Linked DNA regions of Mytilus edulis. The protein of the gene in region 3 purifies or fractionates together with the protein of the main gene of each other region. This does not show direct contact. Links are inferred from orthologs where the notes say so. Each region holds a gene or a part of one and is shown on either strand. Other genes may lie near its edges.

What was found.
Region 1: the proteins of dnaJ homolog subfamily A member 2-like (region 3) and WD repeat-containing protein 76-like purify together in Homo sapiens (affinity purification with mass spectrometry; 3 studies listed by BioGRID and IntAct, with this or other methods). This does not show direct contact. The link is inferred for Mytilus edulis from reciprocal best matches to the Homo sapiens genes DNAJA2 and WDR76.
Region 2: the proteins of dnaJ homolog subfamily A member 2-like (region 3) and nuclear migration protein nudC-like purify together in Homo sapiens (affinity purification with mass spectrometry; 4 studies listed by BioGRID and IntAct, with this or other methods). This does not show direct contact. The link is inferred for Mytilus edulis from reciprocal best matches to the Homo sapiens genes DNAJA2 and NUDC.
Region 4: the proteins of dnaJ homolog subfamily A member 2-like (region 3) and endonuclease G, mitochondrial-like purify together in Homo sapiens (affinity purification with mass spectrometry; 3 studies listed by BioGRID and IntAct, with this or other methods). This does not show direct contact. The link is inferred for Mytilus edulis from reciprocal best matches to the Homo sapiens genes DNAJA2 and ENDOG.

Annotation. Positions count from the first base shown.
Region 1 is NC_092350.1:66,304,675-66,313,376, reverse strand, and holds the start of WD repeat-containing protein 76-like, read right to left. Parts: upstream 3,470-8,702; 5' UTR 3,376-3,469; coding exon 3,292-3,375; intron 1-3,291. Other genes in the region: uncharacterized protein, read left to right, coding at 6,551-6,578. UniProt on the Homo sapiens protein: Specifically binds 5-hydroxymethylcytosine (5hmC), suggesting that it acts as a specific reader of 5hmC.
Region 2 is NC_092353.1:36,784,067-36,792,832, reverse strand, and holds the start of nuclear migration protein nudC-like, read right to left. Parts: upstream 3,184-8,766; 5' UTR 3,023-3,183; coding exon 2,951-3,022; intron 737-2,950; coding exon 659-736; intron 1-658. Other genes in the region: uncharacterized protein, read left to right, coding at 3,245-3,324, 6,312-6,994. UniProt on the Homo sapiens protein: Plays a role in neurogenesis and neuronal migration. Necessary for correct formation of mitotic spindles and chromosome separation during mitosis. Necessary for cytokinesis and cell proliferation.
Region 3 is NC_092348.1:49,350,584-49,358,450, reverse strand, and holds the start of dnaJ homolog subfamily A member 2-like, read left to right. Parts: upstream 1-4,559; 5' UTR 4,560-4,638; coding exon 4,639-4,707; intron 4,708-7,867. UniProt on the Homo sapiens protein: Co-chaperone of Hsc70. Stimulates ATP hydrolysis and the folding of unfolded proteins mediated by HSPA1A/B (in vitro).
Region 4 is NC_092345.1:52,567,190-52,575,502, forward strand, and holds the start of endonuclease G, mitochondrial-like, read right to left. Parts: upstream 3,716-8,313; 5' UTR 3,677-3,715; coding exon 3,113-3,676; intron 1,611-3,112; coding exon 1,498-1,610; intron 1-1,497. Other genes in the region: uncharacterized protein, read left to right, coding at 7,090-7,095, 7,414-7,573. UniProt on the Homo sapiens protein: Endonuclease that preferentially catalyzes the cleavage of double-stranded 5-hydroxymethylcytosine (5hmC)-modified DNA.

The DNA.
Region 1 (8,702 bases), on a different chromosome or scaffold from region 3:
AACTTCTTTAAATCAGGACAATAAAAGAATTTGAGTAGGCAGCTTTTTTCTGGGTAGGTAGCGTTTGGGCAAACTAACCTATTCTTTTTTATGGCCTGATGTATCTAAAAAATGTTTGATATCCAATTTCCCAAATCTTTGCTGTTCATTTTATATTTCAAACAACCCTTTCTTATTGTGATGTAACAACAGCATTAGAATTTTAACATTTGAGAAAAGATAAAATAAGCTACGATTCCATTTGAGGTGGGCAAATATTTATTTTGTTTCAAGATGTTTCTTTGTTAATTGTGCATGTTGTGGGAAAACATATACATCTTGAAACAAAATAAATATTTGCCCACCTCAAATGGAATTTCGTAGCTTATTTTATCTTTTCTTTTGGATATTTCTGGATATATTTTACATCAATAAGCACAAAAAAGGTAGGACTTTGTCAATCTGCGCCAAAAACTTTTTCAACTACTAGTCTGAAGACCAATATTCTGACATTTTTCTTAATTGTCCAAACAAAGTTTTGCAAAAACTTACTAGTCCGAATGAAGTTTTAATGGACTAGTATATGTAGCTAACCGTGCAGACTGCTTTGTAACTACGTAAAAATTTCTAACCGGCAATGAAAATTTCATGTCAAAAATTATTAGGTGTCAAAAGTTCCCCCCAAAATTTGCTCTCAAACTCCAGACGTAAAACATGGCTTCAGCGTTATGGCGTCGTAGGAAGGTGTCCCAGAAAAAAAATTAAAATAGCCTTGCCAGACGTCATAATTATTTGGACTAGGTCATGTCATGATAGTAGCAACTTTTGGTTAGACAGTTTTCTAAAATGAATTGGTTGCTAGATTTAGATTATTCCGTTGAAAGATTACCAAGGATCAAACTAATAAACTAGCACTGAAGCAGGTAATGATGGTATTTCAGAAAATTTGCCAACCATAGGCATTAAACATATAAAGAAAACTACTGCAAAATTAATACTAGTACAATCAACAGGTCAGGAATAACCACCAATTGGTGGATTATTCCTCAATTGACGTATAATCCACCAATTGACATATAAAGATATAGACCAATTGGTGTATTTTTTTTTGTTTTTCAAAACAAATTATTTTACCAAAATGGAGCATTGTTTTCTTAAAACCATATTATGGTATGAAAACTTGTCAAACATTCCTAGTTTAGTATAGTGACATAACATATTGAATTTAATCAATAATTGTATTTGTAGTTTCTTCTATTGTTATCTTGTCAATTCTTGATTGGCAAATTTACCTGTAATCACCTGTCAATGTATGTATGTATGTATATATGTACTTCGAGATTCCACCAATTTAGACGCACCCCTTGATTGACTGCAAGGGTACAGCGGATCCATGTACACTCCCTAAGGATTAATGGAGATGTGTCCTTTACAATATTATCCTACCACCAGAACAATCCCCACCCAACACCGCCCCAAGGGAGAGTGTAGGACACAGGGAAGTCTGTTATTATGGTGGAGGAAGCCGAAGTACTCGGAAAGAAACACCGGGCCACTCGGTGGAAACACGACAAACCAGAGAGATATCAGAAGATTGATCTCCAGGTCAAAGTAGGGGACAACTTTGACCAACTGAGGCCCCCAAAGTACCCATTCTAGTTTAAACTCCAGTCTGGGTACCAGAGATGTGTGTGAGAGGGTCAGTGTTCCAGCTAGGCCGTTTTCAGAGGGCGCGGCGCCCGCCCTTTTCCGAGTGGCGCCCTGTGCCCTTTTTACAGTTTCCAGGGCGCCCTGCCTTTTGCATATTAATTTGCGTATTGATATGATACGCTAATTACTAAATTTTACCTGGGGAAAAGATTATGACTTTGTTTACCACCCCAAGCTAATCAATGGTTACAACTGGTGTCATAATCTGTTGTTATAGGTAATCCGTTTATCGGATGGGTCATTAATGATCATCAACATTAATTCGTTCAAATAGAATCGGTCAGTCGGCAATTATCTTTGAAGAAATGTGCATACAACAACTTGGGCACAATTTGCGATGTTTACCGTAGTTTCATGGAAGAAACGTAATGACAGAAAGTTGGAAAACCATTATAAACTCGTTGAAGACATTGTTTTACTTGTTTTCTGTAAAATAAACAGAAAATTCAGACGTATTTGCGATTGACTGCCTTCATTTTTGATACGAAAATAACAAAATCGGCCGCCATATTGTGATCATATTTACATCATATTTACGTACTGTTTATAATCCTCCAAAGAAGGAGCACACCCGAATAAAGAAAGATAACTCAATCTGATTTTTTTCCTAGCATTGAGTAACCCATTTACATATTCTAAAATGTGTCTCCATACTTCTTGCTTAAGAATATATATGTTTAGGTATTTATTTTGAGTTATGGGAAAAGTTAAAGAGGGTCTTAGTAGCAGTGTTGGTAGGGTGCCTTGGTCATCTTTTTCTGTATTCTTTATTTTTGATACTATTTTTCACTGTTGCTTTATATCCTAAAATTGTGAATTTCCTGAGCACAGCTGTTTTGTGCTGTATTGCTATCAAGCACAGCAGGGGTAGAAAGGTGAAACTGGTAAAATGTGGTAGACCATAGAAACAGTATGAAACAGATCTCCTTTCAAAACATACTGCATATAAAGTTCAACTGTGCCAAGCAATGATAAAAAAACTTGTGTGACAAGCTGCTTGACAAGTTTTTCAGCCTTAAAAGTAGAAAGATAGAGTTCTATATGGGCTAAAGATGTTGTTCTTGTATAACCTGTGATTCAACGAATAAACACAAATGTTTGATTAACATCTTTTATTAAAATATGCCCTTTTCATATTATCATATCGCGCGTTAAATGCCCTTTTTCAGGATTGACACCCTGCCCTTTTGAAAACCTAGCTGGAACACTGAGGGTGAAAATCACCCTTCTGATGTACTGATATTTTAAGCACCCAGACTGGACAAATGTTTCAACAAAAGAATTGTTGTACACATGCATTCTCAAGAGATGCAGCAGGCTTTGACAAAACTGAAACTTTCGGAGGACTCAAATTATAAGGGTCATAAAAATTATATGTTGCAAGTTGCAAAATCATGCTCCTTTCTCACACTAGCATTTTATTACAAAAAAATTGCATTATACGTCAATTGGTCTATACCAATATACCTCAATTGGTGGATTATACGTCAATTGAGGTATAATCCACCAATTGGTGGTTATTCCTGACCTGATCAAGGAAAATTTTGTATAGTCTTACTATACAAATCCTTGGTACAATTAAATATGTTATTTTGAGCTCACCTTGCTCCGCTTTGAAATAACGACGGGAGGAGATAATGTTGCAGCTTTTCTTTTCTTCATTGAAAAATTCCTAGAGGTTGGCATGTTGTTGATGTTTTCTCTACAAACCGCGTCAAAAAATTGTTATGAAACAGTTCCCGCCAGTACTTTCGGAATTTATTCGGAACATTATTTCGTCTTCTTCTTTCGTATCAATATCCCCAGAAAGGAACACCTCACACAGGGAAGGTCTATGAACAGGACAGATAAAACCAGGACAGTTATTTTCGATACGTTTTTATCTGTAACTTTCGTTTTACTCAACATATTGTTAAAATGTAAATTGTATAATAAAGAACAGGATATTTACTTATATTATCTGTAAAAGAAAATAAAAATAAAAAATAACTAAGTTAAAAAAAAATCTGCCAGGACAGTTTAATATTATGAAAAAAATGGCTGAAATTGCCGAGAAAAGTTTACTTATAAATGAAATATTTTCTCCAAAACAACTGTCTGGCATAATATTTTTGTACGATTATAAAGTTTATGGAATATTTATTCTAAAAATTTATGGTTTAATATTTTTTTTCATCTTTTAAAGGTAAAAAAATCTGCCAGGACAGTAGCCTTTCACGTTAGAAATTTTGTTGAAATTATTTCAAAATCAAAATATAAAATTAAATATCTTCTTCAAAATAAATGTCTGGTAAACAAATGTTACTATAAGAAAAAGATAGATTTAATAAACCAAGGATGTGAATAGTGTCTTACTATACATGTGTACTTTATTATGTGACTGTGTGAATTCTTTTTATTGCACTCAATATGTGACACTTTAATAAACAAATTATTCCGGCGAGTCATTTAATGTATAGCTATAATTAACTAAATGATTTTTGCGGATTCCGGAACTTTCAGTGAGATATAATAGATTTAAATTTGATTTTGAGTAACAAAAAGAAAGTTAACAAGAATTTCCAGCTGAAAATCTAACAGGATTTTGTCACCATGGTCACTTTATTTCAAACATCTAAATAAAAGGATCAACACCGATTGGGACTCTGATAACACTGAGTTAATTGTTAAAAAAAAATATGTATTTGCATACCCACAAGGTTAATCTTTTGTATTGGAAAAAGAATGACACATTTCTTAATTCAAACTGAAAAAAAAACTATAACTGGTAAAATATATATATATGGATTTTTTTTTATTGATTTCTGTATCATTGACATATGATTTCCAACCTAGAGGTGTTACAATGTATGTACGTCCGGTGACCGTGCACCCCACTGCATAAATTAAATATGATATACGTCTAACCTTTATACATTTGAATTATCATACATTTATATTATTATATACATCAGTTTTGTTTTTGGAAGATTTTGTAATTTTTAGAGAAAAAGAATGTTGTAAGAACTGCCCGGTGTTTTTTCCCCTCTTTTGAATACTCAAATTTTAATCAAATTCTGTTTTATGATTATTCAGATTATTAGTAGTTTAACATTAATACGATATATAAAATGTGCCACAAAACGAGGAACCACACGGTCTCCGTTCAATATTATAACCTAATTTAAAAAATAGTTTAACTGCCAAATCATTACATACATAAAGTATATCGCAATTAATCTATTATTGTAATATGTTTAATAAACTCTCTAGCCAATGTAGAAGAAAACACACACCAAGACGCACAGTAAAATGTGCCTGTCACGAACCTATAATTCAGTGGATGTCGTTTGTTGCTGTTTCACATATATTTTTTTTGTTTATTATTTTTGTATAAAAAACGTTAGTTTTTCTAGTTTTTCTTGTGTTTTTTATTCGTTATTTCGTGACATTGCGTTGTGGGTTTTGCTCATTGTTGAAGACTGTACGGTGACCTAAGTTGGTAACTCCGCGCCGTGACGTTGTCTTTTGGTCTTTTGTGGAGATGTGTCTATCTAATTGGAGAACATACCACTTCTCCTAACTTTTATATCATTCTGAAAGGAGGATAACCAAACACTAACACGTTTTAAGTTTAACACCGTTACATTTTGTAAGTGCGATCTAGTCCTAAGTCAGAAGGATGGGCAGTAATTCAGTGGTTGTCGGGTTTTTCAGTGTATCATGATATTTCTTTATTAATTTTTCATTTACTGTTTAGATTATTGATAAATAGAATGGCATTATTTTTCTTCATTTCAGTTTTCTCAATGGCAATCACAACACATCTTGATGAAGAAAACAATTTGTAAATTTGCAAGGTGGCTTAATTATGTGTGCTCGATTTAAGGATACCAACAAGTACTATAGTATGACCGCAAATCTACCAATTTTTAAAATTTAAAGAAATACGGCTAGTTTAGAAGTAACTACGCTTTAGAAAACAGATGTTGGCAATATTAACAGATTCGATACTTTAATTGACATGTATGACACGAATTAAAAAAAAAAGACTTAATCTGTTGTCCGCTATTCTAAATGCATTTATTTTTTAAATAATACACACAGGACAAGCCAATCTATACCTTGACATGATATAATATATTATGGATATATAATACAAATTTGTAGGACAAACTGCATACATGTTTTGATTAACCGACCTAAAGCCGAAAGGTCAAAATGAATTCGTACGAGAAGTTATCCCTAAATTTAGTATTCAGTTCATGTTACAGAGTGTTGTACACGTAAAACTGTGAAATGTCTTGACACAAACTCGGTGAAAAGTTATCAAAAGGTCAATCACATCAAACGAATGGAAAACAAGTGTCATACCCCAGACTTTAAACCTAATATGAATGTATATATATATGGTGTGCGCAAGTGTCAAAATATGTGTGCTATGTCAAGAACGGTAATTTATGTTCAGTAATATTTCAGTTATAATTATATTATCAAAACATGCATTAAAGGCCTTACGGTGACCTATAGTTGTTAATGTCCTTTTGGTCTCTTGTGGAGAGTTGTCTCATTGGCAATCGTGCCACGTCTTCTATTTTATATATAGTTTGTAATTCAGGAGTAAGGTTAGCAACTGCATTCCTGTTAGATAGTTAATTTACATTTCTTTAATCTTTAATCTTTCCAATTTAGATATTCAAGTCTTACAATGTTAATTATAACATAAAAGTCAAGCCTTTGCATGATTAATTTTAAAGTCAACACATGAATAATCAAGTTCATCAAATTAATAGCCAACATTTAAAAACTACAATTATTTCTATTCTGGCTATTCATTTATTTCTTGGAGACTTGTGCTAAAGTGTTTTCTAACAGAATCAAAATGTCTGGTAATTACAAAAACCACAAAGGTAAGTTTTTTTCAGGTTTTTTTCAGTTTTATTGTATCCAGGGACTTTCTATGCTAACTGGACTCGTCTCTATTGATTTTGACTGATTACTAAGCCGCCTGTTTAAAGCTACCACTCAACAATAAACTTAGTTTCGTATCTCTGATATACGAAGCTAGTAGTTATTTGCGTATTTCACAGTACATTGTAATGATATAATTATTATTAGTTTTTAATATAAATTGTTATAAGTGACCAGTCCCGTTAGTATAGAAAGTCCCTGTTGTATACCAAGGTAAATCTGAAACTGAACAATTAAAGTCAATCCATAGTTTTTTTTTCATAATTTCTATTATAAAACACTTTATCCCAGTTATCCCTCCTTTTATCTATGTTATCTCCCCTTATTTGGCAAAGTTGAAAAAAATGAATCAAAACAAACTTGGTGTTTATTTAAAAATTACAGTGGTAAATATGATAAAACACATAATTTTCTTTATTTACATCAAAAGTCTTACACGTGAATTACGTACCACTCTAGAAATTTGCACGTTTCATTACAGATCTAGACTAATCTGTAACTTCAAAATCCAAGATGAAGGAAGACATCCGAGCCCCCCCCCCCCCCCCATGAGGAAAAACCTTCTATTATTATTATCATAACGCATAAGTTGTATGTTTGAAAGGCACAATTATGTATAGATTATTTTAAATACAAGACAAATTCAATCAAATATTAAATTAATCATATCTCGAAAATTATATATTTTGACTTTTTTTCACTTTTTTAGTGACTGCTTTGTTTTAACATGTCCTGGTAGATACAAAAAGGCGTTTTACCTTGGTCAGTTGGTCAACACAATATCAAATGGAAAGCAAACACATTTACTTTAAACTTTAAATATTTTCCAGAACTCAACAGAGAAAATTGTTACGTTTTTTAACTAGAACAAGTGAGACAAAACTAAATGAATTGTCAGTCTATTGAAATTATTGTAACACTTTGTAAGTTTGTTTTATGCCGTAAATATATTTTATAATCGTCAGGGGTGGGTCCAGGTAAGGGCGTAATGGCGTACCTTTTCAATTTTTTTTTTAAATATCGTAATCTGCTAATATTGTATTGAATATGGCAATTTATCATATTCATTACTTAAACATATACTCTGATTTCTTTTTATACTGATTCCCCCATCCAATGGGTGACTTGGACACCTTTTTTCAACAATATAAATCTATACATGAAATGGTTGTTTTGTGTGACACTTCCCCAATGGCTATTCTACATCTACACGGGTCTGGGGGGGGGGGGGGGGGGGGGGGGGTACTCGCTATATATACTTATATGATACCGGGTATGTTCCGACAAACGGGGTTGCATTTTCAGCAAAATTGTCTGAATTTGGTTATGTTTTTTTCTCGCCTTGCATTGGAAGGGGCCAGATTTAACTATCTATAACGGGGTATTTTAAATATACAATGTTTACACTATTGTTTCACATAAGGGTGAATGTTTGGTACCATTAAAACGTTTAAACCCGCTGCAACTGTTTGCACCTTTCCTAAGTCAGGAATCTGATCTTCAGTAGTTTGTTGATGTGGTTTATAAGTGTTTCTCGTTTTACGTTTTTTATATAGATTAGACCGTTGGTTTTTCCCGTCTGAATGGTTTTACACTTTGTCTAGTAATTTTTTGGGACACTTTATAGCTGGCTGTTCGGTATAAACCAAGGCTCCGTACTGAAGACCTTTCCTTAACCTATAATGGTTCACTTTTATGAATTGTGACTTGGATGGAGAGTTGTCTCATTGGCACTCATACCATATCTTTTTATATCTACTCAATTGAAAACAACGTTCAAACATATGATTGCGTTGGATAAAAAACTGCAATTTTTATACGGGTGCATGCAAAACAAATTTATTGGTAAAGGGGTCTAAATACAGCACAAACACCATTTTCCAAAAGACCAAAACAGTGAATATGTATATTTAAAAAAACAGGTAGATATATAAATCAAAAGTTCAGATCATGCCCATTTCATATAACATTTTAACTGAATTTACAACTTCTTCCAAATATTTGATTTCCACATGTTAATCAATACATAATTTAGTGACTGTTTTCACCAATATGTCTATCAT
Region 2 (8,766 bases), on a different chromosome or scaffold from region 3:
TAATGGTTTATTTATATTAAGACATAAATTTAATTATACTAACACAATTATGGTAAGACTTCCTTTTGAATTCTCCTGCATATATACAATGTATATGCCTATTCTATCAACAGAAGGGGGTTCAAAGGGAAATCTTTCCCAAATAACTACTCTTACTCACTGTAGCATTTGTGTTAACTAAAACAAGCTGTCCTAATTAATGTCAGATCTATATTGTAATATGATCTGAAGGCAAACCTTGGTTTAATGTAGGACATCCACTGAGGCAATTTTTTTGGCAATTTTCAAGGAGTAAAAAGCTCACAAAATGAGTCCCAGTAACAAAAATTGACATTTTGAAGCAGAAAACTGTCATATCCACATTTAAATTATTTCGTGAGAATTTGATCACCTTTGAATTGCCCATGGTATTTAATTTTCTCTGCTGTGTTTACTCTTGTTTGTCTTTGTGTCCTTTTCTTTCTTTTGTCATGGCATTGTCAATTTGTTTTTCTACTTATGAGTTTTTAAAATATACCTATGGCATTTATTGTCTATTTTTTTCATGTTGTTTATCAATCCCAAATAAAACTTTCAGCAAAAATACATGGGAAGAATTTCATAATTAATTCCTTTCTATAATTAGAAAAAATAATTTATATGAAAAATCTAGTCTTACCTTTTCTCCATCTCCTCTCAATCCTCCTGTGTAAAAGTCTGTCTTTCTTAATAAGAAACTAAAGAAGGCACTTATCAACTGCAAAATATGAGAAAATCAATATGAATAATTATATATACACATATCTACATGAACAATATTACACACTTAACAATATTGTTCAAACAGTCAATGTTTCATGAATAGTTTTTGGAAAACTATGACAACTGCATGTTTGAGCTAAATCTGGTTTGAATAGTTTGACATTTGTAATTTTGGTAGGTGAATATGCATTATGAGTTATTCTCATTATTATATGGACATTAACTGTCGAATTCATGTTAACCAATTTTTCTCAAATTCTCAAATTTGATTTATAACATACATTTTTTTTTGTACTAAAACCTGGGAGCAGTATATCTAAAGAGAAACAAATCTGATAGGCTTTACAGTATAAAATTGATAAAATCTCACACTTTACTAGACTTTAAGAGATTTATTCAATGGTAGCATCCAACTGAAAAACTATTGGAAGTCCTCAATAGATTAACCACATAATTCTAATCGCAAATCAAAACAAGTTTTATCATAAAATAGATATCATTAGTCATATTATATTTTCTTGTTTTTCTTGCACGTGACATCACAAGATTCAATGTGGCTGAACAAAAAAGGCAGAGAATGTATACAAATGGGAATAATTAGATAATAGTTTTAAGGAAATGAATATTCAAACTTAAATAGGTACGTCATATCTTAAAAAAAAATATTCAACAAAACGAACTATATATAGGGACAAGCTTTGCATGGATTATAAACAATAAATTTTTGGGAAATACATTATACCGGAGGTGAGACATGAACCTGGGTCGCAATTCCGAACATTTTGAAATAGGAAAAATCAGAAGCTCTAAGGTCTGCAAATAGTCCAAAAATAACATGGGCACCTAAGAGCTACGGATTCACAGCTACATAATTGTGTATACCAGTATTGCGATCACCAACTACAGGAGATCCCAATTAACCATCAAGGTGACCTCGAAAGACAGCCAATCGTCATAAAAACCGATATTAATACTGATACTAAGTCATTTTACCCAACAAATTTTATGTTAGGTCTGCAATTTTGTGTAGGCATTATTTTCTCAGCAGAATTCGTACCCTGGTTTTGAGACATGTGTAAATATCTATAGCCTTACCGGACACAATTACGAACGATTTTTGAACTGTGATTAATATTTTTTTATGTAGACTACTTTTCTTGAATTGTTTATACCATAGAATTTTGTATGAAGGCTTTCCATTTTGCATCATATTCCACATAAATTTTTATTCACGTTAGGATACTTTAGCAAGATTTGCGTGACCTCGTTTTACGGGTCAGTGAGCCACATATGGACCCAATTCCGAACAGCACTATATTGATATATCTTGCAGAAGAAATCAATGACAAGAGTCTACATAGATAAAGCATACATTAATCTTTATCTCAAACACATTTTCATAGGAAAATAAGATGCACAAGTTTGTTTTTTAACTTCAAATACTTCAGCAGTGGTTGCAGACGAAATTTCGGTCATGTGTAAAGGAAAGATTTCTGATTTTTTTTGTTTTTATGTAAGTTCCTCCTTTAAAGGAGCACTAAATTCAAGTTTATCCATTTTGGTGGTGTACTTATCATTCATCTATGAATCTTTTTTATATAGGTCAACATTTCTTTCGGAGTTCTCTGCACTTTTCAATAAAATTAACATATTTTCTTTTGTCAGACCATAAAATTGGTCACAAGAGTCTAAAAAACGTCAATTGTGGGGTTATTAGGGCAAGATAAAAGGCATCACGCATATGAACGGAATCAGGAGATATTTTTCTTTCAATATATTAACAATAAAAGGCAATATGCACTTACCTTTATTTTTTTTTATATAACTTGCAGGCCAGATTGCCGTTCTTATAATATTTTCAGAATGATTTTGTCATCGTCATCAACATTCACCGAGTGCACATAAATTGTATTATCATTAAAACAAGGGAATTTTAATAGGGTTTTTATTTATAAAAACATTTATTGATAAATATAAATAAATATGATCTAAGAGGGCAAACATTGGAAATCGTTCGTAATTGTGTCCAGTCGTAATTGCGTCCTGTGGGGCTATATATATATGTACGTCGTTTAAAGAGAAAGAGAGAGAGAAAAGGGGAGGGGGTGATAGATAGCCAGGCAGAACATTCTAGACCATTTGGGATCTCTACTTCCAAGCACAACTTTCTTCATGTTACCCAATATTTGTGTGAAATGAATTAAAGTACCTCCTGTATTCCACCATCACACTGCTGAGCCATAGCAAGCAACATGCCATCAAATCTTTGGGGGTCTGCCATTGTTTTATTTGTCTGGTAAGTGTGTTTCGTAGGTCTTCTTTCGCTTTCAAAATCGTTGAACGGAAATGTGCATGTCCACACCGGAGATCAAGGTGCGCTTGAAACTTGTATGTTCGTTCAAAAATCAATTTCTTAGAGCGGTTCAGAGATTCAGATGCACTGCTTTGCTCTTCGCATGCGTCGTATCCAACTATCTACTTCCGTAAACAAAAGAATTTCAGCATGCGGGAATTTACAAGAAGCCAACAATTCCTTAACCCCGATGAAGATTTTGTTTTACATGGACAGAGAGCTTCATACAGGTCTTTTTAAAAATTAAACTGAATATACGTTCTCAGCAGTAGTAGACAATATTCTTTAATGCATAATAAATTAAGGGTTAACAAGCACCTGACAAGTGGAGATAACTCAAAACATTCAAGTATCAAAACAATCGCTACCAGTCTTGACAGGACTTTTACTGTTATTGTCATACTGGTTTGGTTTGATACTTCTACATCCCAAGTAGACATAACTTCAAATAAACCATTCCGAATCATTGACAATGTTTGATTTATGCCTTTGTCCAATTCTTTTGGGTCATAAATCTGTACAAAACATCATTATCATGAGAATATCTCAGATCTGCAGTGACATCACAACATGTAACTGACCAATCAATGATTAGCATTTGTGTTATGTAAACAATGTTGAGAGGTGATGCGGCTAAGAATCCTCTAGATTTTCCATAGACTTCAATGCAAATTAATTTAATTGATATATATTGACAACAGTTGAATCTAGTATCCGCAAATATCAAAAATCATCAAAAGGACCTTAAGAGCTACGTTTTCGCAGCTATGTACTAATGAACTCAAATCGTTCAATTTTTTTTGTCGTGTTTTGAAATCCCGGACCTGCGCAGAAATGTACAATGTACTTCCTTTTTCTGGTCTCGTTTGTATGAAACTTTGAGTAAAATATATATTTATCAGTCTAGTATAAAATAGGAAGGAACGCGCAATACTAATTTCATTTTTAATAATTCCTTGTTATGAAAAAACGTTACCTGATGATAGCGTTTCTTTGTTTACATTGCATATGACGTCATAATTTAAATAACGTCACAACTAAATCCCTAACAACAGAACCCCAATAACAGTAGAAAATTCAATAAAAAAAAAAAAAAAAAAAAAAAAAAATCAGGAAATTGTACTAATGAACTCAAAATCGTTCAATTTTTTTTTGTCGAATTTTTGAATTTCCGGTTCTGCACAGAAATCTACTTCCGTTTCCGGTCTTGTTTGCATGAGACTTTGTAAAATGTATATTTATCAGTCGAAGAAAGGATTCATTTTTAAAAATTGTTTGTTATAAAAAAAAAAAAAAAAAAAACGTTACATGATGATAGCTTTTCTTTGTTTACATTGAATATGACGTCATAACTTTAATAACGTCACAACTAAAATCCCTAACAACAGAACCAAAATCAGAAACATAACGTTCTTTGTTTACATTGAATATGACATTATAACATCACAACTAAATCCTTAACAACAGAACCAAAATCGGAAACGTTACGGTATTTTCGTTTCTCTTTTTAACATTCATAAAAAAAAAATCATACGGACTTCGTCTCCATTCTCAGGTTATGCCTGCCTCATATTATTATCACATATTTGTGACTTTTGAACATTAATTATTAAATAGTAATGTATCATCGATGTATTTTATAACTTAAAAATGATTTACAAAAAGCAGATAAGTTCATAAAGAAAATTTTAAATTTAGTGTGTACATCGAACATGGCGGCCATTGTGATTTCTGTGGTCGCCATATTCGATGTACACACTAAATTTTAAAAGTTTTTTATGAACTTATCTGCTTTCTGTAAATCATTTATAAGTTATAAAATACATCGATAATATACTATTAATTAATAATCAATGTTTAAAAGTCACCAATATGTGCTAATATTGAAATCACAAGTGTTATTCGGGAATTACAAGTGTTATTCTGATATTAACAGTGTTATTCGGTCATTCGAGGTACCGGCGGTAGGGGTACATGTACCATGATTTTCATAGGATAGCAAGAACTAATCAAATTTCCAAGGACTGATTGTTTTCACCTGAAAACTTGATTTGACATGGTGTTATATACATGTACATACTATATGGTCGTTTATACTCAATAAAATTACAAGTTAGAAAATTGATTTTATATCTTGTACAAAATGTATACAAATTAGGTTGTCTACCTTTTGAAAAATTACGTCCACAAGACATGGTAATCGATTGCCTGAAGTTAAATGCACTTTGATTGATTAAACACAGCTATCTTAAAACTTTTAATATTATTTTAAGTAGTATACAGTACGAGTAGAGACTTATTTTTATGGATGTCTTAATCCGTTTAGTCGGATATGAATAATCCGACCATTTTATGGTAGGTAGTATGTAACACCTTGTAAAATCAAGTTTTTCCTGACAAATCAATCGGTTCTTGACCTTAGGAAATTATTTCTTGATGTCCTGGGAAAATCATGGCACCGAAGTGTTGGTGCCTTACATGTAATTAAGCAAGGAATCCTTCAAAGTCTTTTATACTGGTTCCTGGAATTCCCCCAAACCCCTCCTAAAAATTTTGGATCTGACCTACATGTATTCTACTGTGATAGGATTGCTTTCATTAACATATATATAAAGATGTATGTAGAAGTCGATGATACTTAGTTCATGATTAACCATGTGGTCATATTTAGCCGTTTTACATTTAAACATAACATAATTACATCATCAGAAAAAATTGGTTTCATTTTAAGTCAAATTTTTATAAAAATAAAATAAAGTTTGGCTCAAACTGAAAAATATTTGTAGTACATGTATAAAAATCCTTCATGTATCAAAAATAAGCTTTAGAAAGCATGTGGAAAAGAACAATTGTCAAAACACACATTTCATTACATAATAGTTATTGAAAAACTGGTCATTATCGTGATATATTGACGTCCCTTTAAGGACAGTGGTATTGACTAAGACAGCGATGATTACTAAGCCGAAGAAAGAGTCAAACAATGCTGTTATTATTGACTAAAGTTACAAGCTGCACCATGCATGAAATGTGTATGTCCAAGATATTGGACTCTTGACAATAAAATGTAACATAATTTCGTGCCAAATAAAACACAAGTACAACAATCAATGGCCATATTATTGATCACTTTTAAAATACGTAAAAGTATACACTCTAATATTACATGTAACTGCCACCTGATAATTAAAGTTTTCTCTTTTATATGTCCTTTCAGTGAAAAGCCTTTAGGATTGAGGAACTCTCGAATTACAAACACAACATCACGATTAAGTCAACACATATTAGATCAGGAGGATAATTACCGCGACAGAAAATATGCAGAGTCACTAGGAGATCTTGCCAAAAGTTTGGAAAATACTAGCAAAAATGTAGACAGTACATTGCGAAGAAGTGTGACATTTTCTGGTCATCACTCGCCTTACAGTTTGAGTCACAAAACTCCTTTAGAAGAAGAATATGACAGAATTAGAGACAGGAAGCTGTTTACTGAATCTTTTGGAGGTCTTCCTGTTGATGATGGTAAGGAATTGTGGTATACAAAACCTGTTCACTTAAGCCGTCAGGAATATTCATTATCGCCACGATATGGAGCATCTTCAAGGTCAAGGTCACCTCAAAAGAATAGTGGAACGTTAGGTGCTGCTCTAGCCCTTCAAGATACAAGACAGCTTAATGATGATGAAAGAAATTATTCATTGAAATATAGGGATTCAAACGGATTGAAGTTTTTTCCTGTGACATTACAGGCCTCCTATGAACTTAGTGATTTAGACAGGAAGTTGGAAGAACTTGAAAACAAGCCACGACCTAGAACAGCAAAATCATATGTAAAGACTAGCTATGAGCCAAATAGTGTCAATTCTATGTACCTATTGGGTTCAGAGGCTCCTGCAACACGTAAGAATTAATCTTCTTTCTTTCTTTTAGTCTGTTTTTAGGCCACACCAATTTGATTCCTTGTTCGACGGACCCGCCCGCACCTATTTTTTTCAAAACAGAATATTTTTTTTTTTTTTTATATTCCCGCTTCCCGCATCCGGAAATGTAATCATGTCCATTCCCCGCACCGTTTTTTTTTGTAAATATTATAAAAAGATATCAACATTTGTTTTTAAAATAACAGTCTAACCTGTATATAACGATTTTAAACATAAAAGCACCCCACCACACTGTGTAAATATCTGTGAGAATATTTGTTTTAGCATGAAACCTATTTATCAAAAGTGAGAGTGCTCCGATGTAAATTTATAACAGCGGGAATACCTTTCAAGAACAAAAAAATGGTTTCTTTCCCCCTTACTAATATTCCCTATCAAAATATGTTCGTTGTTAGAATAAAGTACAAAGAACTTCTGAAGGATTTGCCTTCAACTGCAATTATATTGTATGCTGGCGAAACAAACTATCCATAGCCGCTGCATGTTTATGCAACCTGTCCTGATTGATTCAGGGGCCTGTCGTTCAGCAGTTATCATTTGTTGATGTGGTTCATTGGTATTTTCCGGTTCGGATATATAAATTAGATCGTTGGTTTTTTGAATTGTGTACGCTAATAATTTTTGACTCCCTTTTAGCTTGCTGTTTGGTCTGTATCAAAGCCCTGTGTAAAAGGCCGTACTTTGACCTGTGTTTGTTATTATCAGGTTGAGAACAAAGTGTCATTTTACTGATGTAGAAAAGAAAATAGAAATACCAAGGATTTGTATAGTTCTTCTATACAAAACCTTTGAAAACTTAGAATTTTGTACTCAAAAAGAGGAAAGTTAGTACATCATATGTTAAACAACTTTTTCTAAAAGAGGGGTCCACTTATTTTGAATAATATTAAACTGTTAAAGTAAATGTGTTAACATGGTTAAAGTCCAGGAATATTACAAAAATTCTTGGACATGTTTTGACCATTTAATACCAGATAGATATATAGTTCTTTGAGAAAATATGAGCCCTTTTGTACAAACAAATATATTATATTTTTATATATTGATCCCTCATAAAACATGTACGGTAAAAGGGATATTTATAACATTAAGGGGTTGCCCCAAAACTGATTATGACTTGGATTGAGAATTGTCTCATTGTCAGTTACACATACATAGACCAGATTTAATTATTTCTTGGTGAACAGGGCAAAAATACTTCAGAAATTAAAGATATGTCAAAGTACAAGTGATAAATCAAGTTTTAATATTGTCAAAACCTACTATTTTATGTTTACAAAAAAAAATTATAATTGCTCGCCTTTACTTTTCAAGCTTCGCCTCAAAAATTTTCAAATTAAATATTTTTTTATTAAAATTTTCAAATCGCTCGCTCGCCCCAAATTTTGGAGTCCAAAAATCGGTAGAACAAGAAATTAAATTGGTGTGGCCTTATCTACATGTACATCTAACTTTGGATGTAAATGTATACATTATTAACAAATTTGTTTCAATAGAAATAGCCACCCAGTCAGTCTACTAACTTCAAATGCACTCCATAAAATGAGAACTTATATTTTAGAAAAAAAAATAATTGCAATTCGTGAACAGAAGCTATTTACGAAATAATTCTTTCTTTTCCTGATAAATGACAATTTTAGCCCATTTTGTTTTAATAACAAAACAGTGCAGAATTATTCTTATAGAAATATTAAACTTTACATGTATATGACTACAAAATGTATGTTGTAG
Region 3 (7,867 bases):
ATATCTTGAAGATCAACAAGTTACTTCGGGCATCTACAGCAGGCACAATGCGCATGCAGAAGGTGTGGCATCCTATCAACACTTGGTTTTACTATCTCCAAACCAGACGTCTTTTCTCAAAAACAAACTTAAAACCTTCCAATAAATGATTTCTCCGTTTTATTTCCTCCGATGTAAATCGTGCAGTTAAGTGAAGTTTTTCCACTATAAATAAATATGTTTAAACTAACTAAGTGAAGTTTTGGAATTATGAAATAACACTTGCTCTTCTCTTGCACACTTGATTGTGACTTTTTTTTCAAATCGATTTGTTGATGATATAAATGATGAAGGAGATTTTGGTTTGGTTGCCAATCTGATTTAAACATTCCGATGAGACAAGCAGTCACCTACAATATGCCCCGAAATATTGTTTATTTGATTTGAAAGCTGAATGATTAAAATTTCATAGTTGGTAACTGAAATTGTATAACATAATTTTCAGATACTCATACAAAGCCGATAATATTCGCCCGAAGCTTTTGTCAAACAATACATGTCCAATAGGTTTCTATAGTAAATTAGTATTTTTTTAATAAGGCCATCAAAAATTTAATATTAGATATCTGGCAAGTCTTTAAATGCATATATATGAGAAAACCTTGTTATATTTTGAGAACAACATTGAAAAAATTATGCTGTAAACTAAATACAGGAAATAAAATGTGTAATAATTTATATAGATCTCTAGACTCTACGGCTAAAGGGAGATAAATCTAAAGCAGAAGATATACATTTTATGAAGCATAGAATTATTAATCAATCGTGGCGATTTTCGGGATCTGAATATAAATCGTAATTCGTTATCTCAAATGGAATTTTTTTTTTCAAACGTGTCTTTTCCGTCCAAAAGCCGGTGAACCCATAGTTGGTTAATCTGGAATGCCATGTTTGGGAATATTATACTACTATAGTAACTTAATTATAGTCCTAGGCCATGTGCAGGGGATTCTCCAGAAATTTTTGAACAAAACCATTTGTTTAATCCATCAATAGGCCTGAAGGAATTACAAAGAAAGATCACAGGCACTTACTTGTCTCTAATTCTTTTTTCTCAACTATATTACTGTATATAATATAACATATACAGATGCAATAGAAAAGTAAAATAAAAAAATACCGAAATCCATTGAGAATTCAAAATGAGAAGGCCAAGATATCAATTGACAAAATGAAAGGCTCAATAATTGATAAACATGTCAAAAATAAGGGTACACTATAAAATTGAGAACGGAAATGAGGAATATGTCAAACAGACAACAACCCTACCAAAGAGTAGATAACAGGGGGAGGCAACCAATGGGTCTTCAACACAGCGAGAAAATCCTGTACACTTAGGTGAGCTGCAGCTGACTCCTAACTATAAATGTGTACAATATATATAAAAAAAAAGAAGATGTGGTATGATTGCTAATGAGACAATTCTCCACAAGAGATAAAAATGACACCGTACGGCCTTCAACAATGAGCAAAGCCAATACCGCATATATAAAAGGCCCCGAAATGACAATGTAAAACAATTCAAACGAGAAAACTAACGGCCTTATTTATATAAAAACATTAACGAAACACAAATATGTAACACATGAACACACGACAACCACTGAAATACAGGCTCCTGACTTGGGACAGGCACATACATACATAATGTGGCTGAAAATGGACGTCACACTCAACTCCAAAACATATAAATTGACTAAAATTTAAAAAAAAACATACAAGACTAACAATGGCCAGGCTCCTGACTTGGGACGGGCTAAAAAATGTGGCGGGGTTAAACATGTTTTATGAGATATTAACTCTCTCAAATGTAGAATAAAGAAACACACAGCAATACGTACAGTAAAGCTCAGTTTAAAATAAGTCCTAGTCCGATGTAAGAATAGGTAACTTGGCAAAAAAAAATAAGCAATATGTCAGTAACTGCTATAGTAGCATACTTAATTTATGTATCCATTGTTATCTTGGGTATTTTTCTTCAGTACAATGAAAAATTAAGTAAATGTTTTGACTAGTTTGTGATATTGAAAACCACAAATTTAATAATTTTTCCGTAATTCAAGGATTTCTTTCGTTAAAATCTAATACGTTGTTACATACACGAGCAAACCGAACAATTAAAGTCATGTGAAACCGCAAATTAAAGAAAAAAATATGCATATTTTTTTTATAACTAAATGGATAGTTTTCATTATAAAACTTATGTACATATACTTTTTTTGAAGAAAATTCTTTAATTTGTCCACATTTAGAAGAAGTTTTCTTTTTTTACAATTGCTTGCTTTTAGGAAGCAATTCGCCGAAATATTTTTCGCATATGCAAGTGACCTTAGCGTGACCCTCCTAGTAAAAACCCGGTGATCGCAATACGCATGGATCTGTCATTGAAATAATCTATGATCTGATTGTAAATGTTATACACGTTCTCAATATCCATACTTCTTTGTTCCCATGATTGTTTACTATAAGGTGACAATCGGTAAACTACGTCTTCAAAACACGGCGATTAATAAGCTGACATATTTGTTAAATCATAACAAACAGAGAGAAAAAAAGTTGACGATTATACGATATTTTGGCGTAAGAAATGTTAAAATCGTGCACAGAAGACTAAGTTTATGATTTACTACATGCATTGGTAATTTTTCACAAGTCATTCGTTTCATGTTGAGAAATATAAACACCATAAGATGGTGACATAGGTTAGCGTCACCATCTAAAAATGGATATTAAAAATTGTGTTATAATCTTAATTATTTTAAAAAATGTCAACAAAGAAAAACAAAATGACATACATATATATACAAGGCATATTAGCAAATATAAAAGACGAGAATACAAAAAAATGACCAGCGCACAATAACATGCAAACTCTAGAATACCGAATGAGTTTGGGAATGTATATCCTATATGCAGGTGAAGTTGGTATTTTGCCACTAAGGTTGGGAAAATTGATAATTTCAAGATTAAAATCGTCTCGCTTGTCATAGATTCTGATACTGAGATGACTTCTTATGTCAAATTCGAGGTATAAGTCTAAAAACCAGCCGAATGAAGCTTTTAAAAAGAATGCATGAAATTTGACAAAAAAAAAGATAACTTTTTTTTAGAGACAAGTACATGTAATGGTAACTCTTGATTTATAAAATTGATTCCAACTTCATCTTCGTTGAGATCTGCTTGCAAAATTTTAAACGAACTTATTATCAATGTCACGCTTGGTGTAAACAGAGACATATATATCTCTAGTGTAAATAATGATACTGGTGCATCAGTGCTCATTCATTTTGACAAGTCGGACCCATTTTTGAAGTAAAAAATTTTAGTAACCTGAGCTCGCTATCTGAATGCTTACAGCGGTAACTGATAACACATATCGATCGTGCATACGCTATTACTGAGAATGACAAAGATGTTCGGAAAACCAAACTTCATTGTTGCGTTTCTTGATGCTTTCGGTTCGGCTGATTTATGATCATTTATGACAATGTGTGGGGTTTTTTGGTTTGCCAAGTTTAACATATATCTACGTTAACGATAGTACACTTGAGTTAACCAAGTCAGGATTATAATGTACAATCGATATTCAATTGACTAATTCGTGATGCTGGCCAAGTTTCTGGATAACAAACCTTAGCCATCACATACTATGTTCATAAACAAAAATCGTTCGTAATACTCATTGTACGTCAGTGCTTTTGCTGATATGTTCATGTTTTTTCCTGGAACTTTGAATAGAAGTTTAATTGTTAAAATAAAAAAAAATCGTTAAAACTAAAAATAAAATATAGAAATCAGAATCAGAGACATATAATACAATTAGTATATAGTATGTGTCTCTGTCAGAATAAATGACAAATCATTGTGATTTTGTCTTCTCAGTCAGGGACTTTCTATACTAACATATAGTATTAAAAGTCCCTGTCTCAGTAGCACTGAAAAAAAATTCAAATTCATCATGAATATTAGCTAAATTGAAGAAAAAAAGAAAAACACATTTAAATTTGAGAATCGTCTTTTTGTGTCACCACTGAAAAAGAGTATATCCGAATTATAGTTATTAACTTCTTTGTCCATTAATGTATCCTGTTGTATCTCGGTCGTACGGATGTATTGCCGCGAGCACAGTCTTGATTACACCATTTAATTCGTCCAGCCTTTATAATAGACTTTTTAAAATTCATATAGAGTAAGGGCATTATTTCTTAAAATTATATTCAAGTCAGAGTGTTCAATGCAAAAGATATTATAAGTTTGATTAAGAGAGTTTTTCATACCAATTTTTTCACACAAAAGGGGGGGGGGGGCCTTTTTGTGTGAAAAAATTGATCGGTTATATAGGAAATTATATAGGGAATCACCGAAGCATGACTGGAGCGGGCCCAATCTTAGGCAGTCAGTGGGTACCACCTTATGAACATTTCTGGATCCGCCACTGTTGACATTGTCTATTACAAAATTTCCAGTACATGTATTTTAAAAAACTTCAAAAGATTGGAGGAAAGAGACTTCAAACGCGGGAAATATTATTTCCCCTTAATGTAGCAACCGCTAGTTCCTGTCATAGGTGGCAGTGCTTGATCATCGAACCTCGTGAAAATGGCAGACTCAAAATTATACGACATTTTAGGCGTCAGTAGATCTGCCCAAGACAATGAAATCAAAAAGGTATCAATGAAAAAGCAATAGTATATGTCAATCCTTACGCCTTATCTGTACCTGACTAATTTCAAATATGAATTTTGTCACTTTCAAAGGCGGATGGTGACTCAGGATTTCAGTAAGAAAATTAGAACGTTCCATGGTTTGAACTTGCACAATGATAAATTAAACTATATGTATTACCCACAGGTATTTGGGGCATGGACCCCCCTTTTTTGGACCTCTCTAAAAAAAAATTGGTGTTTTTTTATTTATTTTCAATTTTCTAAAAATGTATCAAGTCTCAACAATCCATTGCTAGTCGATTGCAATAACTTTTTTACTATCCATACGAGCCCCAAGTGAAAAAAGAAGAAGGTAATTACCTTCGATGACTGACCTACTTTCACTTTGGAGGATCAGGTCAGGAAATCGATAAAAATTTCATATAAAAACTCACTTACTTTTCATAAAAAGTACATCCTTAGATTCATGAGATATTTTTCTCAACGTTTAAATAGGTCTGCGGAGGTTTTGTGTCTTGTTTTACTGATTTTGTTCTACAATTGTCGTCCATTTGAACCTCCATTCACGGAAGTGAAAATACAGCGCCATCTGCGTTGTCTTTCGCTATGTTTCTATAACTCCGTTTGACTAAACTGCTTTCCTGTTTTTATGCCCCACCTACGATAGTAGAGGGGCATTATGTTTTCTGGTCTGTGCGTCCGTTTGTACGTCTGTCTGTCCGTTCGTTCGTCTGTCTGTCCCGCTTCAGGTTAAAGTTTTTGGTCAAGGTAGTTTTTAATGAAGTTGAAGTCCAATCAACTTGAAACTTAGTACACATGTTCCCTATGATATTATCTTTCTAATTTTAATGCCTAATTATATTTTTTATCCAATTTCACGGTCCATTGAACATGGAAAATGATAGTGCCGAGTGGGGCATTCGTGTACCTTGGACACATTCTTGTTGGTTACCAGTTTTACATATGGGTTCCGAATGCAATGTAGCTATAAGAAAAGGTAAGAGATATGGACCATAATTTGCTATTGGGCTCCGTTTCCTATAACTATAGAAAAGTGATAAAATGTGAATTACTGTAAGAAAAGTTGTAACTACATCTAAAGATGCCATTATTTTTATCAACATACAAGTGTATGCTACTCTTCCCTAGAAAAAAAATTGAAATTAACAAATTTCAAAGATTATACGACCGTATTTGTGTGTCGTTTCTCGCGTTACTTTTCGCGTCCGAAGTGCATAACGCTGACTAATTTATAGATAATCGTCACCGGCAAATTCGTAATTTTTGCTTTAAAATAACAAAGAACATCGACCAATAAGAATAGTGAGAAGAAAATGCCGAGAACTATAAGTATTTCTGTAGCAGGTGTAAGAACACTGTCGTTATTTTGGTTTCCCATTTCGTAACGCACATTTTAGATGGTTTAATCTGCTTTGTTGTAAAAGAATTCTTTGCAACAATATGCTAATACGAACTCTCGCGAGATGTTCAAACAGGTAAATCAGAGATGATTTACATTCTTGTTTTGTTCTTCGTAATAATTAAGTTAGAAAATGACGTTATCGTTATGCGTTACATTTCACACGAAACAGAAGTCCATTTATTTATTAAAATTGTTTTTGTCGTTAAGTTCTAATCATTTCCGGTCATACGTGAAACATGTGACTAACATGTGATCACGCCCTTACAGCCGGATATACGAAATACTAGGTCTAAACATTGTATTTGTTTCCAACGGGATGTAAGCAAACATAATCTGTAGGCTTGTTTCGTCTTGTTTAAAAAAGGAAAATACAATTTTCAAAGAGATTGCGCCGGGGGTCTATTATTTTTCCCATGTGCATAATGTTACATACGATCTTGTGTGAAAATAAATGCCCAATGACTTGACAAAATCGATTTCAGATTTGACCGACGTTTTAACACACTTCGTTTCCCAATAACGATGTGAAGGGTCCTTGGAAAATTCAATCGAAATTACGTCTCCTATCATGGTGCCAATGTTCGTTGGATTGATTTAGCTTCAACAGTAAATATTACTGGATATTTTAGGTGAATAAAGATAATTTAATAAAAAATACATGTTAATGTACCGTTACACTTGGAATGTACAAAGTTGGTATCTTTGTCACAATTTTTAATTAATTTTTTTTATTCATGTTCTGCAAACACTTATCAGAAACGCAATAAACTTGTCAAAGGAAAAGTAAACTTTTACCATGCATTACTTGAAAGGAAGTACTTTATTGATTTTAGCCCACTAAAGTAGGTTAAAATGTGGAAACCATGTAGATGGTGTACAGGTCACAAATATCACATGGTGCCTATTTTAAAGATGCTAATTCCAAGTTAAAAGTTGTTTTCTTTACTGGATTTAAAGAATTTTACATTACCAATGATTTGGAATAAATTGTATATAACTGGAATTTCAAAACCAAATATAAATACATTTTTTTGGCTAAAACATCAAGATACAACGATTATGGTATCCTGTATCAATGAAGAAAATACGGAAATTCCTGAATAAATTGTACTAATTGTTTTCAAAACAAGCACATATTTAGGAGTTTTATAATACTGTTACATTTAAGATGGATTTTAAGAAAAAGTATACTGTTCAGATCATTTTAAGCAGATTTTGCAATAAAATAAAACTAAAAAAATGCTTTCGGTTTCTTATGGTTTCCTGTCGCGTTTAAAAAAAACTTTAATTTAACATTGAAAATAGATTTTAAATATTAACATGAAGCAAGTAACACTAGTAATGGTGTTCATTTATGTCTTTTGAAATATATTGTGCAAAATAAAGAAAATAAAGATTGGTTTCCTGTTTTGTTTCCTGTCACGTAAACGGTGAATCAAAATGTATTAATTTTTTCTCGAAAAACTCAATTGTTCCATTAATACTATTCTAACATCAACACAACCCACAGAATAAAAGTTAAAGTTTTAGAACTTATAAAAAAGGATACAAAAAGAAACCAAAGGCCGAATACCAAATTATGGTCCATATTCGAAAAAAGTATTTTTTCCGGTTTTTAAAAATTAAAAAAATTCAAAACAAACAGTTAACAGGAAAGCAGTTTAGTCAAACGGAGTTATAGAAACATAGCGAAAGACCTGTTTGATGATGGCGCTCCTCAATCTTTCAATTATCCTCT
Region 4 (8,313 bases), on a different chromosome or scaffold from region 3:
ACTAAGGTTGTGAGTTCGAATCCGGCAAGTGGCAGGATAGTTCGACTCCAATCTTAGTTGACTTGGATTGTCAGTTTTCCTATCGAAAGTCTGTGGTTCTTTCTGAGAACTCTAGCTTCCTTCATCATAAAGACTGACCCCCATGAAATAGCACAATAATGCTGAATGTGGCGTAAACATCAATCTGGGGTTTTTATGTTGCTGGGTTGCTGTCTCTTGTTTGTACTAAATGTCTTTTTTTTTGTTATTTCAATAAGCTTTCAGAAAAAAATATATAGTGTATGGTTATGTTTATGTTCTGCTCTATTGACTTTGTGAATTTAACAAATGAAGATCTCAGACGGAAAAGTAGCAGATATCTACTGGGTTTTTTTTTTAAGTCTATCTTTGTCAACTTCGTGAAAAAAGAAACATTTTGAGCAGATTTCAAAAGTTTACACCAAAATTCCTCTCCATTATGCTCAATTCGTGCGAATGAAGATCTCAGTGACAGAAAAGCACCAAGTTCTCTACTGGTTTTTACTTGGTTTAATAGTTTTATCATCTTCGTAAACACATTCAAAAAATTGAGTAGTCAAACCAAAGATGAAACAAATTTATAACAAAAACTCCACTCTGTACATATATGGTAAATGTCATTATTATGTACTATGAAAAACTAAACCAAAATCATTTGAACGAAGAAACACATGTTTTTCCACATATCACCGAAATCAAAGACAAAAAGATACCCATCCTTTTATTTTTTATTTATTTATGCATCATTTAAAAAATTGTAAATTCAATACATTTTTCACTTTACCAGTTTTATGTAGGCATACATGTACGAAAACACATGTGCTTCAAAGAAACGAGAAAAACACATTTCATTATTGTAATTCAAACGAAACAATTATGTTGCAAAAACGGGTCTATTGACTATTGTTCTGATTTTTTTTTATAGTTTACGGAAAATGTATGAGTTTTCAGTATAGATATGATGGTGTTCATATGTACTCAATATTCCTTACAGACTGCTTGTAGAGGCGGATTTAGGGGGAGCAGGGGGCATCGGCCCCTTTCTTCTGGGAGAAAATGGTTGATTATAAAGGGAATCATTGAAGCATCACTGGAGCGGGCCCCCTCTAAGCAGTCAGTGGGTCCCCACTTAAAAAAATCTGGATCCGCCACTGGCTTGCTGCTTCTTTTTGTGCATGATAATTTAACTTCTACAGCTATCTATAATAGACATTCTTGGAAAATTACAACGGCAATGATCGACCACTTGCCATCTAAATTTTATAACTGGACACATATAAAGAGTTGACAAAAGGCAACCGAAACTCTTTTCATACAATTTCTAAAAGGTTAAAAGATATAGCATAGACAAAGGAAGGATTAAATTACCAATACTTGTTTTCTTTCTTCCTATATCCATTTAGTATTTCGAAAACATGAATTTAACTAATATAAAACTCTTCATTAATAGAAATTCAAAAATAAAGTATTGCATGTTACCTTGGGAGATAGAGAGGCCCTGTACAACAGTACACATTTCTGCTTTGTCTGGCTTTCGCCCGGACATACTTTTCCAAATCATTCCAGGCATCTCTATTGAACCCCTCTCCGACCTATTCGAAAAAAGTTGACAAAATTAATGAAAATAAATTAGAATGAAAATTCATGTCCAACAACATGCTAGACGTATTTGACAAAGCAAATAGACATTTGCAACTCATATTTACTAAAAAAAAATTGTATGATTTTAGCATTTAGTACTTTAATACCTGTAGCTACGTTTCAGTGTATGACCTGGCTTCAACTGAAAATACCTATTTCTATATTGATGATATTACACACTTTGTATATATGGATAAAAAATGGTGTGCGGGGTAAACATTCATGAGAAGGCAACAGTCGATTTACACTATACCGTCATGCATATATAGTTCCTTAACTTTAATTTTATAACTCTGGCAAAAGTTAGTCAGATATGAATTATATTAAAACTATACTGTAAACCTGGAATAATTTATTTTCAGTTGCATTTCGAGAGCAAATAGCGTGTCCTTGTAGTTTTATAGCCATTGGCCATACCTATCACCCATCAGTTTTCATTTGCCAAAAATTATCAAAAACTTTATCAAAATATCTTGAAATTATAGCTTTTTGTTTAATTCTTATATATAGATTAGATGTTAGCTTACATTTGTGTGTACTTGTATATCTTGTAAATTAACAGCTTCCAATCTGTATTTATTGGGTAGTACAGGCAATAATATTAGAGTGTAGGACCGCATGATTGTATATTAGCAGGATGAATATTTTAGTTACTGTTAGGATCATTTTTAATTATTAAAGATAATTAATCTTTTCATTAAAATTTGGATGAAATGCAAAATTATTGTAAGTAAAACAAACACGAAATATTATTGTCATATTTAAATGTTTTAGTTTCATAATATAAATGATATAGCTTATGTTGGAGATGATAGGTCGTTTAGGCTGGTTTTTTTTTTTTTTTTTTTTTTTTTCTTGATAAACAAAATGTTTTAGAACAAAGCGAATTTACAAAATATCTGTTTACATGGTTTAATTCCATTAAAAATTTGGGGGAAATATATACAATATTGGGTTTTCTAATAAAATCCTCCCTGTATATCATTGAAAAATAAGTTGACATATATGTTATAATTCGGTTAAGTTTCACCTCTAATATCTTATCTATTTGTCAGTGTTCTTTTCATGTATTTATATCTTTTTATTCTTCATTCTTCAAGTCAGATTTTTTTTTAATAAAGATTGTTTTATCTTTTCGGCAAAAATCCCTGTTAACTTTAAATATACAGACTTGTAAAACATAGTTATACATGTAATATATGCAGAAATGTACGTGTATGCTTTTATCTAAAATACATCAAGCTATGATAAATTTAGAAAGAATTTTGCTTGATGACCTCTATACATTTTGAACATGCATGTAATTACATGGAAGATACTTTTTTAGTCTACCGAAATAGCTTGTCAAGATTATTTCTTTTATTGTATATTACAACAGAACCCTGTAGGGACTTCCAAAAACCTGCATATATGTGTACGCAAAATACTAAAGAACCAAAACTAATAAAACTACCTGAGGTGATACATTGCTGAGAGTAAAAGTCTGGTCCATAGCTTTCTGTGTGTGGCGATGGTTAGCTGCCGCTGCAAGATGTCCTTTGTCATAGCCACTGTTTTTGAAGTCATTTTTTGTAGCCCGGAAGAAATTGTGGATGATGTTGTCTTCCAGAAATTCTGATTTACCTCTCTTGATGTTTTCATTCTTCATAACATGCTCTGGTTTAATGTGTTCAAATACCCATTGGGCATTCCTATTTCTTCTGTCATAGGACAGTACAAAATTGTCAAATGATCGAACTTGATCCAGACTAGGAAAGCCAAACTTCATGATTTCTGAAACGCGATTTACTGGTTGTGGAAAAGCTGCAGGCATACTTGTACTTGTAGTGGCAGGAATAGACGACGAGGCAAAAACTGACGGAACGAATAATGCTTTGGTGTCAGTCAAGGGTAACAAATGAGTTAGAGGGTCTTTATTTTCCTTCTTCAGTTTTTCATATTTGGTACCAAAGAATAAACCAATTCCCATAGATGCTCCACAAAGGCTGGCAGTTGTGATAAAACGAACTCTTGACATGTTCGTGAATAATCCAATGTCAACACTGACAACGTGCTAGATAATGAACCGGATGTTCAATAAAATCCAAAGTAAATAATGATGATTAACATACGGAATATTTATTTCATTAGTTAAATCTGTTTGTACATTTATCTTTAATGGACGTTCTTAATTCTTTCTTATTTAACAGTTTTTGCATGGATTTTTTTTCTCGTAATTTTTTTTTATATAAAGAGGACTTCAGCTTAACAAAGCTTTTAAAAAGTATATTTAGACCTATTAAACTGTGGAAGTAAAAAAAGAACATGACAAAAAACAACAAAATCCAACTTGCAATTACAAGCTAACGGTCAGTCTTTTTTTAAGATGTTTGGTTTCGGTTGCGTGAATTGTTTATTCATCGGTAGTTGTTTATTATATTTAGCATAAATTTTGCAAGATTGATTAGCATTATCTATAATACTAAAATTACGAGGTCCAATTTGTCAGCCGTCATCACGTAAAAACGATGAATCAAAGAATTCAACTTTATATACAACTAATATAGTACAAAGGTGTAGATTAAAAATTACACCACTCCAGTCCCTTTTGTTTTCCACGTAATTAATATTGCCAATAATTAGGAAGTTCCGGGTCGAGTCCAATACCGATACCAATAGTATAATCACCTGTTACCTATTACCTTATCTGTACGTTCCGCATCTGACAGGCGCACCACCAAACGGTGTATTGAGGATTAATATGCTAAATACACGGGTCATAATCACAGGGTTGACACTACTAAATTGTCAAATTGTTACCTATTGTAGTATTTTAATCCGTAAGACTTTCTAAGATAACAATACGAATACTAAAAATCTGGACTAAAAATATTAAAGTTTCAATTTGTTAGCGGGCATGACGTAAAACAGCGAATCAAAGAATTCAACTTTATTTATAACTAATATAGGACAATGCTGTTGATTAAAAAATACTCCATTCCAGGACCTTTTGTTTTCCAAATAATTAATATTACCAATAATTGATAAGTTCCAGTTCGACGGGTTCAAACAGAAAGATTTGAAAGCAGAGAAAATTGTGTATCTTATAATCGGCATGACTTTATCAGATGACAGTACTAATACTAAAATAAGGCTTGCGCATAGTTATATACTTTAATTCAGTCACGGACCCGCGATATCACGGGTGTGTTCTAGTATATAAAAAAAATACTTTTGACGGTTGCTTGCTTAATGTCTAGTGGCAAGTATTTCATGCATATTTACAGCGAACAAATTAAAAGTACTGAAGTGCTGAACATCGTATGACTGCAAGTTCTTGTGGATGGTCACGTACTTTTTCAAGAAAAAAAATCACATCTCTATGCCTGAAAGTCACATTACGTCCAGTGGCAAACAAAACATATGCGTTATCAGGACAACCATACATTAACAATTAATACTATAAATAAGTTCTATAATAAGAGGCGAAAAAAATCCGGAACTTTGGAATTGTACTTTTATTTTTTCCTGAACTGTGGAATTGTACCTTTATTATTTCGGGAATTTGGGATTGTGCCTTATTTTGTACGGTTATTAGGAATTAACACTTATCAGGGCTAGAAATTCAAAAAAATATTCTTGGAAAGCGGGCAAAGACTTTTTTTTTCATTTTTTCGGGACTTCAGTATGGCATTGTTCATTCCCTTTACATAATAGAGCCCGTTTGAAATTAAAATCTGATGAAATCCAACTGCCACAAGATGATAAGAGAACATGTACAGGGACAAGTGTGTTGCCTTTCAGCATTCCACCGACGGCGCACTGAAAGAGTTGTTACAAGGATTTTAATGTGCCGAGGAGGTATTTGATTTTATATCCACATTATAACATACATAACACTGCTGCGTACTTTTACATCCCGCACAGCCGAACGGAGCCCCAACTTTGGAAAGGGTGATACTCTTATTCTTATAAAGACCTAAAAGACTATATATTTCAATTTGCAATTAAATAGTAAAAGGAGTTTACGTCAATGAAAGAGCAATAGCCAAATAACGGGGGAAAATTTGACGTTTTTATAAAAATGAACCCGATTGGGTGTTTATAAAAATGACACGCTTTAGTTGCCTTCTACAACTTTACATATTTTGGAGTTTATGCAGTGACGTTATATGGACACGTTTAGCGGAATCGGACACTGTGGGGGATGGACACATTTCTGGGTGCTTCACGGTTTGATAATTTCTCTCCATATATTCATTGTAATGTCGTTAATGAAACTATAAAACCGGACAAATATCGTTCTGGAGTTATAATGTACATTTCTTTATTTTGGAGAACAGGATGGAAAGTAAAGGGTACGACAGAGTAAATGTGTGACCCCTGATGTTGGGTAATGCAAAAGTAATTCTATCAAATAACAGTCTTACGAATCTTATTTTGTTTTCTTTCATTTAATACAAAAATATATAAACTTGGTCGGCTGAATCATGGCCATAAATGTTAAGAAATCTCTGGGATTTCTTTTTTCTGTTGGATTTTTTTATAGTAAACATTTTAACCCCGAAAACTGCAATAATAGTAGATTAAAATTTACGTGTTGTTTACTTTGACAACACATGCACCTGTCTCAGAATTTTTTTTCTTATATACCTTAATTTAACACAAGGTACTTAACTTGCATTTTAGAAAAAATGTCAGGCGGTGACGAAATTCCGTTATATGCCCCTTTCTAGGCTGTCAACCATACTAAAACTTGTTATATCGTTAATCTAAATTGATTTATCTTTACAATGGTGTATAACACGCCTACATTTGTTGTCGGAATTATTCGTAGCAATCCTACCCAAGTATGTCAATCGTAATAATTTTGCCAACCGCTGAAAATTTGGAAAGAAACGTCTCGCAATATATTAAGGTATATGAGACGTTTTTTTTCTGAGACAAGTGTCTGTAAATTATAAAAATATGAGAACATAAAAACTTGAGAATAATTGCTATCTTATCTATTCACTTGCAGAACAAGGATTGTGAAAGAAGATACACGATCAATTTGTCTACGTTTCGTGCAGGCTGTACCAAAATGCACTTATTTATTTTGATTATTTTGCTCATTGCAGATTTTGTATATGTTAACAGGTCAGTACATGTATGTAATATATATTCACTTTGACTCACCCAAAAAGAAAAAAAGACAAAATGAATTTGGTATGCACCAATAGGGAGGTAATAAAGTTAGCATTGATATAATATTAATAGGGTTGCAGGAGCGGTTTTATGTTTCAATTTAAAACATTAAAATGCATCAAAACAAAATCTGGCAATAAAACTAGCCTTTATACAAACAAGTATCTGGTAATCGATCCATCTTGATAAAATTGGAAAAGATTGACTTTTCTCCGAAAGAAGGAATATCTGATTCATGGAAGAGACGCATTAAAAAAAGTAAATATGGAGGTTTGAACAATATTTAAGCGGTTTTCACGTATTCATGAATTGCCAAGAAATTTGAAATCAGAATATGGAAAAGTTTATATTGTCTTAAGCAAAAGATAAAAGCGTGCCTTTTTAGTGTTCTCGGTGTCTTAGGTGGCTGAGGTTATATTTGATAGATTTGTTTTTTTTTAAACCAGAATCAGAGATTATAGACTCCATGCTGAAGCATATGTCGCCTGCCAAAAGTTGAAATGTTCGAAAATTAAGATGTATAGAAGATCTGTTGCTTAGAATTATCACCAAACACAATTTTTATTTTAAAAAATACATTAATTTCAGTCAGGTATAAGAAGTGCAATATTTAATTTTAGTCAAACGACACCAGGGTATAATTTGAAAGCTTTGGGAGTCAAGGAATTTTTACGTTTTGATGCCAACCATGATGGAACCATTACTTTAAGCGAATGGGAAACTGTTCTTCGAGGAGATGATGATGATGGTAAGTCCAATAAATGTTCAATGAAAACAGCGATGTTGGAAGGTACGGTATGTGCTCAAAGGAACCGGCGATGTTGGAAGGCACGTTATGTGCTTAAAGGAACCGGCGATAATGGAAGGCACGGTATGTGCTCAAAGGAACCGGTGATGTTGGAAGGTACGTTATGTGCTCAAAGAAACCGGCGATGTTGGAAGGTACGGTATTTGCTCAAAGGAACCGGCGATGTTGGAAGGCACGTTATGTGCTTAAAGGAACCGGCGATGTTGGAAGGCACGGTATATGCTCAAAGAAACCGGCGATTTTGGAAGGTACGTTATGTGCTCAAAGAAACAGGCGATGTTGGAAGGTACGTTATGTGCTCAAAGGAACCGGTGATGTTGGAAGGTACTTTATGTGCTTAAATGAACCGGCGATGTTGGAAGGCACGGTATGTGCTCAAAGGAACCGGCGATGTTGGAAGGTACGTTATGTGCTCAAAGAAACCGGCGATGTTGGAAGGTACGTTATGTGCTCAAAGGAACCGTCGATGTTGGAAGGCACGGTATGTGCTCAAAGGAACCGGCGATGTTGGAAGGTACGGTATGTGCTCAAGGGAATCGGCGATGTTGGAAGGCACGGTGTGTGCTCAAAAGAACCAGTGATGATGGAAGGTACGTTATGTGCTCAAAGGAACCGGTGATGTTGGAAGGTACGTTATGTGCTCAAAGGAACCGACGATGTTGGAAGGTACGGTATGTGCT